Oryzias latipes: one gene and its partner. The protein of the gene in region 2 binds, or shares a complex with, the protein of the main gene of each other region. Links are inferred from orthologs where the notes say so. Each region holds a gene or a part of one and is shown on either strand. Other genes may lie near its edges.

Region 1 (5,087 bases), on a different chromosome or scaffold from region 2:
TGATTTTAGATCAAATGTTGATTGTCTTTTAGGGAACTGAAGAAAAACTGAACAGACAACTGGACTGGTGTATCGAGCAGCTGGAACTGGGGCTGAAGTGCCAGAAGGGAACTACTAAACAAAGTCAGTGTGAGCAATGATTTTATCTCTTTAATTATTTACTTTATATCTGAAACTTTAAATAGTTATCTGTTTTTTTTTAGCTATTTCTAAGGCAGGAAGATATTACTTAAAACGTCATCTGAAAAAAGAAAAATAAATGAATGGAACAGATTACAATGACAGAAACAACAAGCATGGATAATAAATGAAAACAAATAAGAAGAAGAATGAAAGGGAAAACAGGGGAACAAATTCAAAAATGGAAATGTATAAAATGAATAATCTAGTGCCTCATACGCACTCTGAAAACAAAGGCAAAAACTTCATAGTGAGATAAAACCAAATCTCATACCAAATTACAAAAAGAAATCAAGGAAAATTTAGCGAAATTATTAAGGTGATCAAAAACAGCATGAAGTACTAAGCAACTCAGTTGCTGCTGGTTAACTTTTAATACTTCTTGGTCTGGTCATCACCTACATTTCTTAGAGATTTTATGTCTTTACTCTCTGCAGAAGAAGAAGCATCTCGCGCCCTGAAAACTCTGCGCAGCTCTAAAGCTCCTCTGGCTAAAAAGAGGCAGGTGATGAGAGCCATGACTGGAGACTACAGGAAAAAAATGGAGGAAGAGAGGACAAGGCAGTTCAAGCTCATTCAGGGAGGTGAGTTGAATGTTACGCAAAGAGTAAAAGTTGTTTATGTGACAAGTTATGTCACAGATGCATTGTTAAGTGATGGTTTGGTTTTTTTTGTTTTGTTTACAATAGAGATTGCATCAGCTCAGGTCAAAGTTGCATCAGAGGCCCCAAAGAAATCTGTTTTCCATAGAAGAGCAGGAGTCAAAACACAGAAACTGTCAACAGATGAGAACCTGCATCAGCGTGAAGGCCAGGATGATGCAACACCACAGTGTCACACAGAGACGTCATCTTTTCTCTTTGTTCCTTCAAAGGAGGAATTTTGTTTCAATTTTTTCTGATATTTTTTTTTTCTTTTTGTTTTGCACTCTGTGACTTTTCTCAAAACTCTTGTTATGTAACACCCAAACAGTAAAGCTTTCCTCAGGATATTTTTTATCAAGAAAAGCTTGCCTCAAGATATTTTTGTCAAAATGCAAGAAAATTACAAAGTAAATACATTTAGCATATCAGAGCAGGAGTTTGCTCTAACTTAATATCTACTTTGTTGTTTTGTTGAACCTATCTAAAGAAAAAAACTAATTTAAGGATGTCTTATGAGGTGACTTAAGCATTGTCACATCACAAGACATCCTTAAATCAGGTGACTCAATGCATGAGTCACCTGATTTAAGGATGTCTTGTGATTAAATCCTTAAATCAGGTGACATAGTAAAATTGTGTAGTGTACAAATATGAAACTGAACATTCAAATGTTTTCATTGTTATTTTGAAGTTCTTTATTTCAAAATAAAAGTGTTTCAATTTATTTTTCTGAGTTTCTTTATTTGGCACAGACATAAGCTAGAAGAAATTAGTATTCATATGAAGAATTTATGTTTTAAGTAGTTTTTTTGTGTTGCTTTCCTTTTAAGCATTTGGTATAGTTAAAAAAAACTTTGAGCAGAGAGAGGGTGTTGGTGAAATTGTAACTAAGCTGTTGAAGTCTGCAACGGGGAGTGAAAAAAGGTTGATTGACAGAGCTTTATGAAGCGGTAAAATACTACTTTTTTGTTTTAAATAATTATTTGTTTTAATAATTGTGGATTTTGGGTCCGACTTTTAAAACTGTTTTTTTAAATTTCTTTCATTATTTTGAGGTAAAACATTTAATACTTTTTTTCAAAATATATAAAAAAAATGTTTTCTTTTAATTTTATGACGAAAATAATTTCCAGTAAAAGTTTTCCCCGCTTTTTAACCGGAAAAGGCGGGGCTCGTTTCTGCACGAGCCTGATTTGATGTAACATACAAAACAAAGAAAGTTTGGGGTTCCAGATGCCTTAATTCAACTCCTGACTGTAAGTTTTTATTTCAAGATACGTTGATTTTTATGTATTGATTTCTTCTTTTCATTAAAATTGTCATAACATAATTTTGCATTGAGTAACGGCCTTTTCGCCATGCTAGTTTAGCTCAAAGAAGAAAGAAAGTAAGTTGGGGACAGATTTAGTTTTCGTAGGGAAAGCACCACGTTTTCGTGTTTTTACTTCATTTCAGGCACGAACGAAAATGTCGGAGTTAAGTGATGAATCCAGTGAGTCGGAACAGCTGGGGGCCAGCCTCTCCCTGTGGCTTGGTGACCCCCTGGTGCGATCGGAGGAGCTGAATGTTCCTCTGGACCTTCACACCGCCTGCTCCATCGGACAGTACGGGGTGGTGGCTGAATGCATTCAAACGTACGCCCCCCCTTATTTTTACTTATATACCGGTTGAGCTCGCGTACTTCCTAACAGTTCACGCGTTGTTTCAAGGCGTGAGGTGAACCTGGACGCAAAGAACATCGGAGGATGGACCCCGCTCATGTATGCCGCCTACATCGGCCATGACAACATCGTGAATCTCCTGCTGGAGGCGGGTGTGAACGTCAACTCCACCACCTCCACAGGACTAACCTCCCTGATGCTGGCAGCCAGCTGTGGGAACGAGAGCATTGCAGACGTCTTGCTTCAGGTAAGAAACCCCACTCCGTCCGTTCCTTTGAAGCTACCAGCTGCTTCCTCATTGATTGACGGCTCCTTCAATCTAAAAGCACGGCGCTGAGTTGGAGCTGAAAGACTCTCGGGGCTGGACGGCTCTGTTTCACTGTACAAGCACAGGTCATCAACAGATGGTCAAGTTCCTGCTGGATCACAATGCAGATGCCAATGTGAAGTAGGTATCTGTGTGTTTTTAACATGTTCTTGTGGCATTTTTCCGATGATGGAGGACATATAAGGAAAATTAAGCTAAAATTTGCATTTCTGGATATTTAAATTTAAATCGCTGAATCAGAAGCATATGAATAGTATTGTTGAAAAAATGATTATATTTTTTACTGGGCAGCCCACAAGCTCCCTGCTCTGCTCCATTCTGATGCATTCACTTGCAGACAAATTGATCCAACAGCTCTGAGGCAAATTTCAAATGAACCACTGTCGCTCTGCAGAAACTATGTCCTAGAAAACGATGAAGGTTTTTTTTATTTTGTCTTAAAACGGCATCATCATAATTAAAAGACCACTGGGAACATTCAAGATAACTGGAGTGCGACTTTAAAGTTTAGATTTCCCTTTTTCTTCCTCCAGAGAGCCAGGATCAGGGTTCACTCCCCTGATGGAGGCTGCAGCTTCTGGACACGAAATCATTGTTCAGTACTTGCTGGACCATGTGAGTACATCTTCTAGTGGCTGAGACCATTTATTCCCCATTATTTTTATGGGTTTTACCCAACAAAATAAGACACTCCGTACATTGAACATGGAATCACAGTGAGCCTTGTCCCACATCATGACCAGCTAATTTATTTACAGAAAGTTAAAGTTGATGACCGAAACGCGAAAGGAGAGACGGCCCGTGCCCTCGCCGCAATTTATGGTTATACCAAGATTGTCAGTCTCATTGACTCACGTTTGCCAAGAATGAGACTAGGTACTGTTTGGAGAACATTTTAGTTTATATTCCCAAAGTTTTGGATTGCACAGCTTTTTTTTTTGTTGCATATATTAATCAGGACACCTTGAAGACCTCAGCTCCTCGGAGGACTCTGACGGCGGTCCGCCGAGAATTCGACCGAGTCGAAGCCAAGCTAAAGGTGTCAGCATCCACGATGGGCCCCAGGCCATCGCCAAGTTTAGAGTGGGTGGCACAAGCAAGCTTGCTGGTAAAGTCTAAGAAATTATTGCAGAACGCTTCCCCATTTGTTTTTTATTTTTTTATCGGAAATGGTTCAGCAAACGGCTTCATTCTTTTGTCAATCCTAATTTTTTCTCCTGGCAGAGCCTTCAGCCGTAGCGCCAGGCTACATGTTTCCGGGTGAGCAGAGTGAAGGCCTCTGCCATCGCGATGTGACTTCACCAATCAACGAGCTGGACGGCCAGAGCCACAGTAGCAGAGGTAAAACACCCGTCTACCAGGAATAACAGCATGGTTTCCTATTTTTTTTTAAATTGTTAAGAGTTTTTTGGTGTAACCTCTGCAGATGACAGCCCGTTCTTTGAGAACAACCTGCCCACCATGAGGAGCAGCAGCAGCAGCAGTGAAGGCCTGCCTCATGTGATCAACTGTGAAGGCTCCTTGGAGAGTAATGAGGTGACATTTTTGAAATAAACGTCTTCTGTATGTGCTTCTCTTCTGCGTGTAGTCACTGCACATGTTCTGTTTTCAGGACTCTGATCCGTGCAAAAGGAGCAGCTCTCGCAGAGCTGCAAAGAGTCATCACTCGAAAGGAAAGAATCGTCTTGGAAACACTGGTGCTGGTCCTCCCAGCAGGTCGGGCAACTGCAAATGCACACGTGCTGCTCCACCTCCATCCTACAACGGCCCAAAGGCAAGTTTAGCTTTGCCTTCATTTTTCTGTCCTTTTTTTTTGTCTATGCGGATGTGTAAATAAATTCTGTCTATTATGTAGGACCTGGCGGATTTCCTGGAGCAGATCGGCTTTTCCAAATACCTCCCGCTGCTTGAAAAAGAGGACATCGACCTGCGGATATTTCTCACCCTGACAGAAAATGACCTTAAAGAAATAGGGATTACGTAAGATGCCCGACTTTCATCCTTTCAATCCGGACAGGATAATGTTTTGATCCATACTTGGCGCCGTTCTTCCACCGCTCATGCTCTTTAGGCTGTTTGGACCCAAACGTAAGATGACTTCAGCCATTGCGAGGTGGCACAGCAACGCTCGACCCCCAAGTGACGCCCTGGAACAAGCTTATGCTGACCAGCTTGAGGCGGAGATGCAAGAAATGGCCATTCAGCTGCATAAGGTATCCATCATCCAAATCCAAGGATGGGATTTTTGGTGACGCCTCTGTGAAAGCTTTTCTC
Region 2 (5,122 bases):
ATGGTTAAATTCTTATCCTCATTGCTCAGGTTCAAACTAAAACAAAGAAATCAAATGAATCAAATAGATGAATTACCTTTCTCCAGAGATTTAACATTGCGGCTGGTGAGGGTGATGCGGATGCGATGGATGGCAACTTCTGACTCAACAGGTGCTTTGCCAGTGTCCTTGAAAGCCTGCAAACCAATTGACACGTAAACACAGCGAACAACTGGCTTCAATCAAAGCATGAAGCATAAAACGAAATCATAAGGAGGCATGTGATGTCTTGGTGTTTCTAGTATAGTTTTATGGCTATAATAATTTAAATTAATACATTTACCTTAGAATATACAAAATGAAAGTTAAACGCTAACGTAGTTTTGCTTTTACACAAATGTCGTTTACTGCTCAACAAGGGACCAACTATAAGAATTAAGCGTAGGTACGTTGACCTCAAAATAATTATTCAAAAATGTTCATGTGCTCCAGAGACAAAATAACTGTACATGATCTGTAGATAGATAAAATATTAATTGTCTTCATATTTGCTATGTTTAAGTTTAAGGACTAACGATGATGAGCCTGAAAAAGGCGCTCCTGGCTTATGCTAGCAGTTTGGGTTTTTAAAAAACTAATTTAATTCCAACTATCATCATTATAGAAACCAATCTGCATTAAAATACGTCTTTATTAAATGAAACGTAAACGGACGCACCATTTTATGTATTCCTGACCGACTTATTCGGAAGAAATTCAAGCGAACAGCGGTGAGCCAGGAACAGACACCAACAACGTGGTTAGCTTCGAGGGAAAAGGGCGAATTCGAACTAGTTTCCGGTTGATGTACCCTGCATCCGGGTCCTCTGTTTCTTATTCGTCTGTAGTTTTAGAACTCCCAAAACTCAAGGGCGACATCTAGTGTCGAAACATGGCCTTTAAATCACAAGGTTGTTGGATTTACCACAAGAGGGAACCAGAGCGACTACAAGTGCAGGGATGCGCAAACAAAAAAACTGAAATTGTTTATATACCCGCGTATCACACTATTTAATATTATTATGATTTAAAAAAGGATATAACAGCTAATAATTTAGATACTTCTGCAAATATTTTAGTATCTTAAATGTCTTAAATTTGACAAGGCTTTCCCCGGTTAAATGGCTTAATTTTTTAAGGGTTTGATTTTTAAACAAATGAAAACGTCTTGTAGTTAACTTTAAAAAATAACAAGTAACAAGGGAAAATTAGGTTAAAAAGAAGTTATTTAAAATAAATATATGACAAGGAAATCGCATGAATTCCATTGTAAGGATACAATTATTAGCCGTGCTAAAACATCTCTAAATAGAAAAAATTATTCGTCTTTAATATTTATTTACAAGTATGTTTATCAATTTTTATAACAAAATACATAAAGACATTTGAAGAAAAAAATAATACACTTCCGTTTGTTCTTTTCAAAATAATATAAACTTTTTGTGCTTTTTAAAAATGTATTATGCTCAATTTTGGAAGGGAGGATGAGTTAAATGATTGCTTTTACAAAATATTTAACAAAAATATTGATATTGTTATAGGTAATTCTTTTGCAAGCAGCCAGAAAGGGGTAAAATATGAGATTTTTGAATAGAAGCGTTTATGTATCTTTATTTTGAAAGCGGAAGTCAAGTTTATGTTGTGAAAGTTTTTATAGGAGTAAGAATCTTAAGCAAGAAGTAACGGAACCGGGCAGTACCAGACCGGTGGGTTTTAAGAAAGTCGTTTTGGATTAAGATGTTGGCAGCGGTTAAAAAGAAATTAGTCAAAGTAACTTTTGGGGCGAAAACAAGAGATTTTTACAATAAAGTTAACTCACAGCAGTAAAGTTAGCTGTGAGTCAAGATTTCTAAAATAAGGCCAAGTAACGGGGACGTTTTGCATCGTATTGTCGCTTATGAAACAATTTGAAGTTAATTTGAGGCGGAATAACATCAAGGACAGGCATGAATTTCGGCGTCCCCGCTCATTCTCTGCTTCTCTTTCGTGCCTGTGATGATGGGGACTATGAAACGGCTCGGAGTATCCTGGAACCCGGAGCCTCCAAGGAGTCCGGGCGGCAGAGCAGGCTGCGGTCGGAAGCGGGGTCGGAGTGTGCCGCTGCGGACATGTTGTCTCTGGTACCGGTGGACTGCACGGACGAGGAGGGGAACACCGCCCTGCAGTTCGCGGCGGCCAGCGGCCACGAAAACCTAGTCCGGTTCTTGCTGCGGAAGGGCGCTTCAGTGGACAGCCGCAACAACTACGGCTGGACGCCGCTGATGCAGGCGGCGAGGTGAGGAGAGACGAACCCGAGTCCCCGCTTCATGTCATCCTACATTTTCAATGAGGACTTTCCCAGAATCCTCTGCGACCTAAACGTCTGATTTGTTTATTATCTGATAAAAGCATGTAATCAGTTTTATTCTAACTCAAATGTTCTTTTTATTTTTTACTTATAAAACAAAAGTAATTATAATTAAAAAAAAGAATCTGAAGAAAAAAATCACTGTTTACTTCTCAGTTTTTGCATAAAAGATAAACACAGAGATTACAATCAAATCAATCAAAATCAAGTATTTTCAAAATGAAATGTCCGTCTTCAATACTTCAATAACATGGGGCAGGTCCTGCATCTCCATCCAGATCCTCAGCAGAAGAGAATCATATCAAGTCCTATAGAACATTCTGATAATCTGCTGCAGGAATTGAAGAAAACAGAGTTTACCAACACCAGTGCATTGTATTCGTACCTGACATCATGACTAACTGTGGAGATTTTACACTGGACCTCAAGCATATAGGGTTCTGCTCTTCATCAGTCTTCCTCCACTTAGCCAACTAAGTCAACAGTCCAGTTCTTCTTCTCTTTGGCCCAGTTGGGATGTTTCCTCTGTTTGCACGGGCTCAGAAGGGGTTTGACCCGAGGAACCCGACAGTTGTAACCCGTCTGTTGATGCATCTGAAGGTGGTGTTTTTTGAAGCTGTTCTTCCACCTCATTCCAGTCTTTTTAAACGTATTCACCCCAATAATCTTGTCCCTTTGATAATCGGCTGAAGCCCGAGGTTGTCTTTGTTTGCATTCTCTCCTCTCACATTTTGTCCTTGGATTGGACTTTCCATTGATCTGCTTGGACACGGACCTCTGTGAACAGCCAGCCTCCCTAAACTAGGAACGTTTGAGGCTTACCCAGACTATGGAGTGGATCAAATATGGCCTTCTGGCTAGTTATCAAGTCTTCTCCCCCATCGAACCAAACTGAACCAATTTAATGACCTGTGGGAAACCTGTGTGGGAGAAACTCGCTTTAAAGCATTCATGCTCTGAAAAATCAGGACAGATTTCTCCACAGTATTCTCATTTGTTTGTCTGGGGTTTATGAGCTGGAACCCCAATTTATGTAAAGACAAACAAACAAATACTTGAAACCAATTAAACCTGAAAATACATTCTATAAAAGTTTTTTTTTTTTAAATAGAATTATAGAAATTAATAAATTATTCCATGATATTCTAAATTATTTGAAAAGCTCTGTATAAATAGAAATATTTTGTTTCTTTGCTTGAATCCACATTAGATGGTTAGATTGCTTGTTTCTCTCACAGGTTTGGTCACCTGCCTGTGGCCCACATTCTGCTGGAAAACGGGGCAGAGATCAACGGGCGGAACCGGCTGGGAGCCAGTGTTCTGACCATGGCGGCCCGCGGGGGCCACGTTCATGTGGTCAAACTGCTCCTGGAAAGCGGCGCCTTCGTTGATGACTATGATCACCTCGCTCCTGTGGCAGACGAAGCCTCCAACGGCAACAACAACAACAGGTCCCTCTTTGTTTCGTTGAAGCTTTTTGGAAGCGGTGTGCTTTCTGTTGCTTTGTTTCACCTTTGGGTGCCCATCTCCCTGCAGCACGGTGAGCTTCGGAGCTGGGGAGGGCTGTCCTGGAGGTGGCAGAGAGTTCATGGACATCACAGCGCTGATGGTGGCGTCGCAGCACGGCCACGAAGCCACTGTGCATTTGCTGCTAGAATTTGGCTCTGATGTCAACTTTTCCCAGAAGGCAACGGGCTGGGGGCCACTGATGTTAGCCACGTTGAGTGGAAAGGTGAAGCCAGAGGATGCATGGTTGTTAAAGACACACTCCGATCTTTATTTAATCTATTATAAAACTGATCCTATTGGTCTTTTAATTACGATTCTGCCCTTTTTAGACAAAACCCCCAAATCTGTGTCGATTTCTAGGACATAGTTTCTGCAGAGCAGTGGGAGTTCATTTGAAATTCACCTCTGATTGGTGGGCAGGACTGTTGCCACAGAGCACTCCCGCCCCTTCTTCCCGTCATCCAGAGCTGAGAGCTCCGTTACACCTCCCGCTAGCTTACAGCCCCTCACAACCACAGTCTAGCTTTAGCGGTGCAGCAATTGGGGCTATCCAGCCATACTGTTTGTTATTTGTCTACAAGGGGATTCATTAGAATGGAGTGGAGCAGGAAGCTTGTGCCCCCACATCACAAAGATGTTCTTTTACAAATTGCATTTTTTTTGTCAATTCACAAGGATTTAAATAAAGAAAACCCCCAAAATGTTATTTTAAGCTTAATTTTCTTTATATACGTCAGGAAAATGCCACAAGAACATGTTAAAAACCCCAGAAGAAAAATGTCATTGGAGTGGGCCTTTAAAATCAGGTTCTGGTGATTGGGGTACATTGTAAAAAGACGTGCTGCTGTGTGTTCTGAAGGTGGCTGTGGCTCAGCAGCTGGTGGAGCACGGAGCCGACCCGGACCGGATCAACGTTCTGTCCAAGACTGCCTTTGAGCTCGCCATGCAGTTAAAACAGAGGGACATCAAGGCCTATCTGGACTCCATCACCACTGTCAGACCTCAGACAGGTGCAGGTTCCTCTCAACTGTTTTTAAAGCACAGATTCAAGAATATCCCTCCTAACAGGTTTTTAACTCAATATCTTAATCTAAATTAACTTTCCTAAAGCTCAAAAAAGCGGATTTTGAAGTTTTCTGCATCAAAAAGCTTGAAAAACAACAATTACTCAGTTATTCTATTTGTTAGAATAACCATTCTGGCACAGCTACCTTCATTTAATTTGTTCTTTATAATCCTAGTTTTTTA

What was found. Proteins that work in one complex are often made in the same cells at the same time.
Region 1: the proteins of anks6 (region 2) and anks3 are in contact, whole or in part, in a crystal structure (PDB 4NL9), measured with the Homo sapiens proteins. The link is inferred for Oryzias latipes from reciprocal best matches to the Homo sapiens genes ANKS6 and ANKS3. Residues at the interface, in NP_775822.3 of Homo sapiens: Glu796, Gln797, Glu798, Val799, Asp800, Glu802, Ala803, Thr806, Leu807, Asp811, Glu814, Leu815; in NP_597707.1 of Homo sapiens: Lys441, Tyr442, Thr470, Leu471, Phe472, Gly473, Pro474, Arg476, Lys477, Arg484.

What each region holds. Positions count from the first base shown.
Region 1 is NC_019877.2:9,256,445-9,261,531, reverse strand, and holds the start of anks3 (ankyrin repeat and SAM domain-containing protein 3), read left to right. Parts: upstream 1-1,970; 5' UTR 1,971-2,080; intron 2,081-2,118; exon of another isoform or gene 2,119-2,211; intron 2,212-2,279; 5' UTR 2,280-2,291; coding exon 2,292-2,458; intron 2,459-2,533; coding exon 2,534-2,732; intron 2,733-2,811; coding exon 2,812-2,933; intron 2,934-3,346; coding exon 3,347-3,428; intron 3,429-3,571; coding exon 3,572-3,689; intron 3,690-3,771; coding exon 3,772-3,921; intron 3,922-4,037; coding exon 4,038-4,154; intron 4,155-4,239; coding exon 4,240-4,349; intron 4,350-4,425; coding exon 4,426-4,587; intron 4,588-4,668; coding exon 4,669-4,793; intron 4,794-4,884; coding exon 4,885-5,026; intron 5,027-5,087. Other genes in the region: c19h8orf33 (UPF0488 protein C8orf33 homolog), read left to right, coding at 33-123, 618-764, 870-1,081. UniProt on the Homo sapiens protein: May be involved in vasopressin signaling in the kidney.
Region 2 is NC_019878.2:10,676,917-10,682,038, reverse strand, and holds the start of anks6 (ankyrin repeat and SAM domain-containing protein 6), read left to right. Parts: upstream 1-1,652; 5' UTR 1,653-1,964; coding exon 1,965-2,293; intron 2,294-3,603; coding exon 3,604-3,816; intron 3,817-3,901; coding exon 3,902-4,097; intron 4,098-4,733; coding exon 4,734-4,884; intron 4,885-5,122. Other genes in the region: rps20 (40S ribosomal protein S20), read right to left, coding at 77-176, 698-700.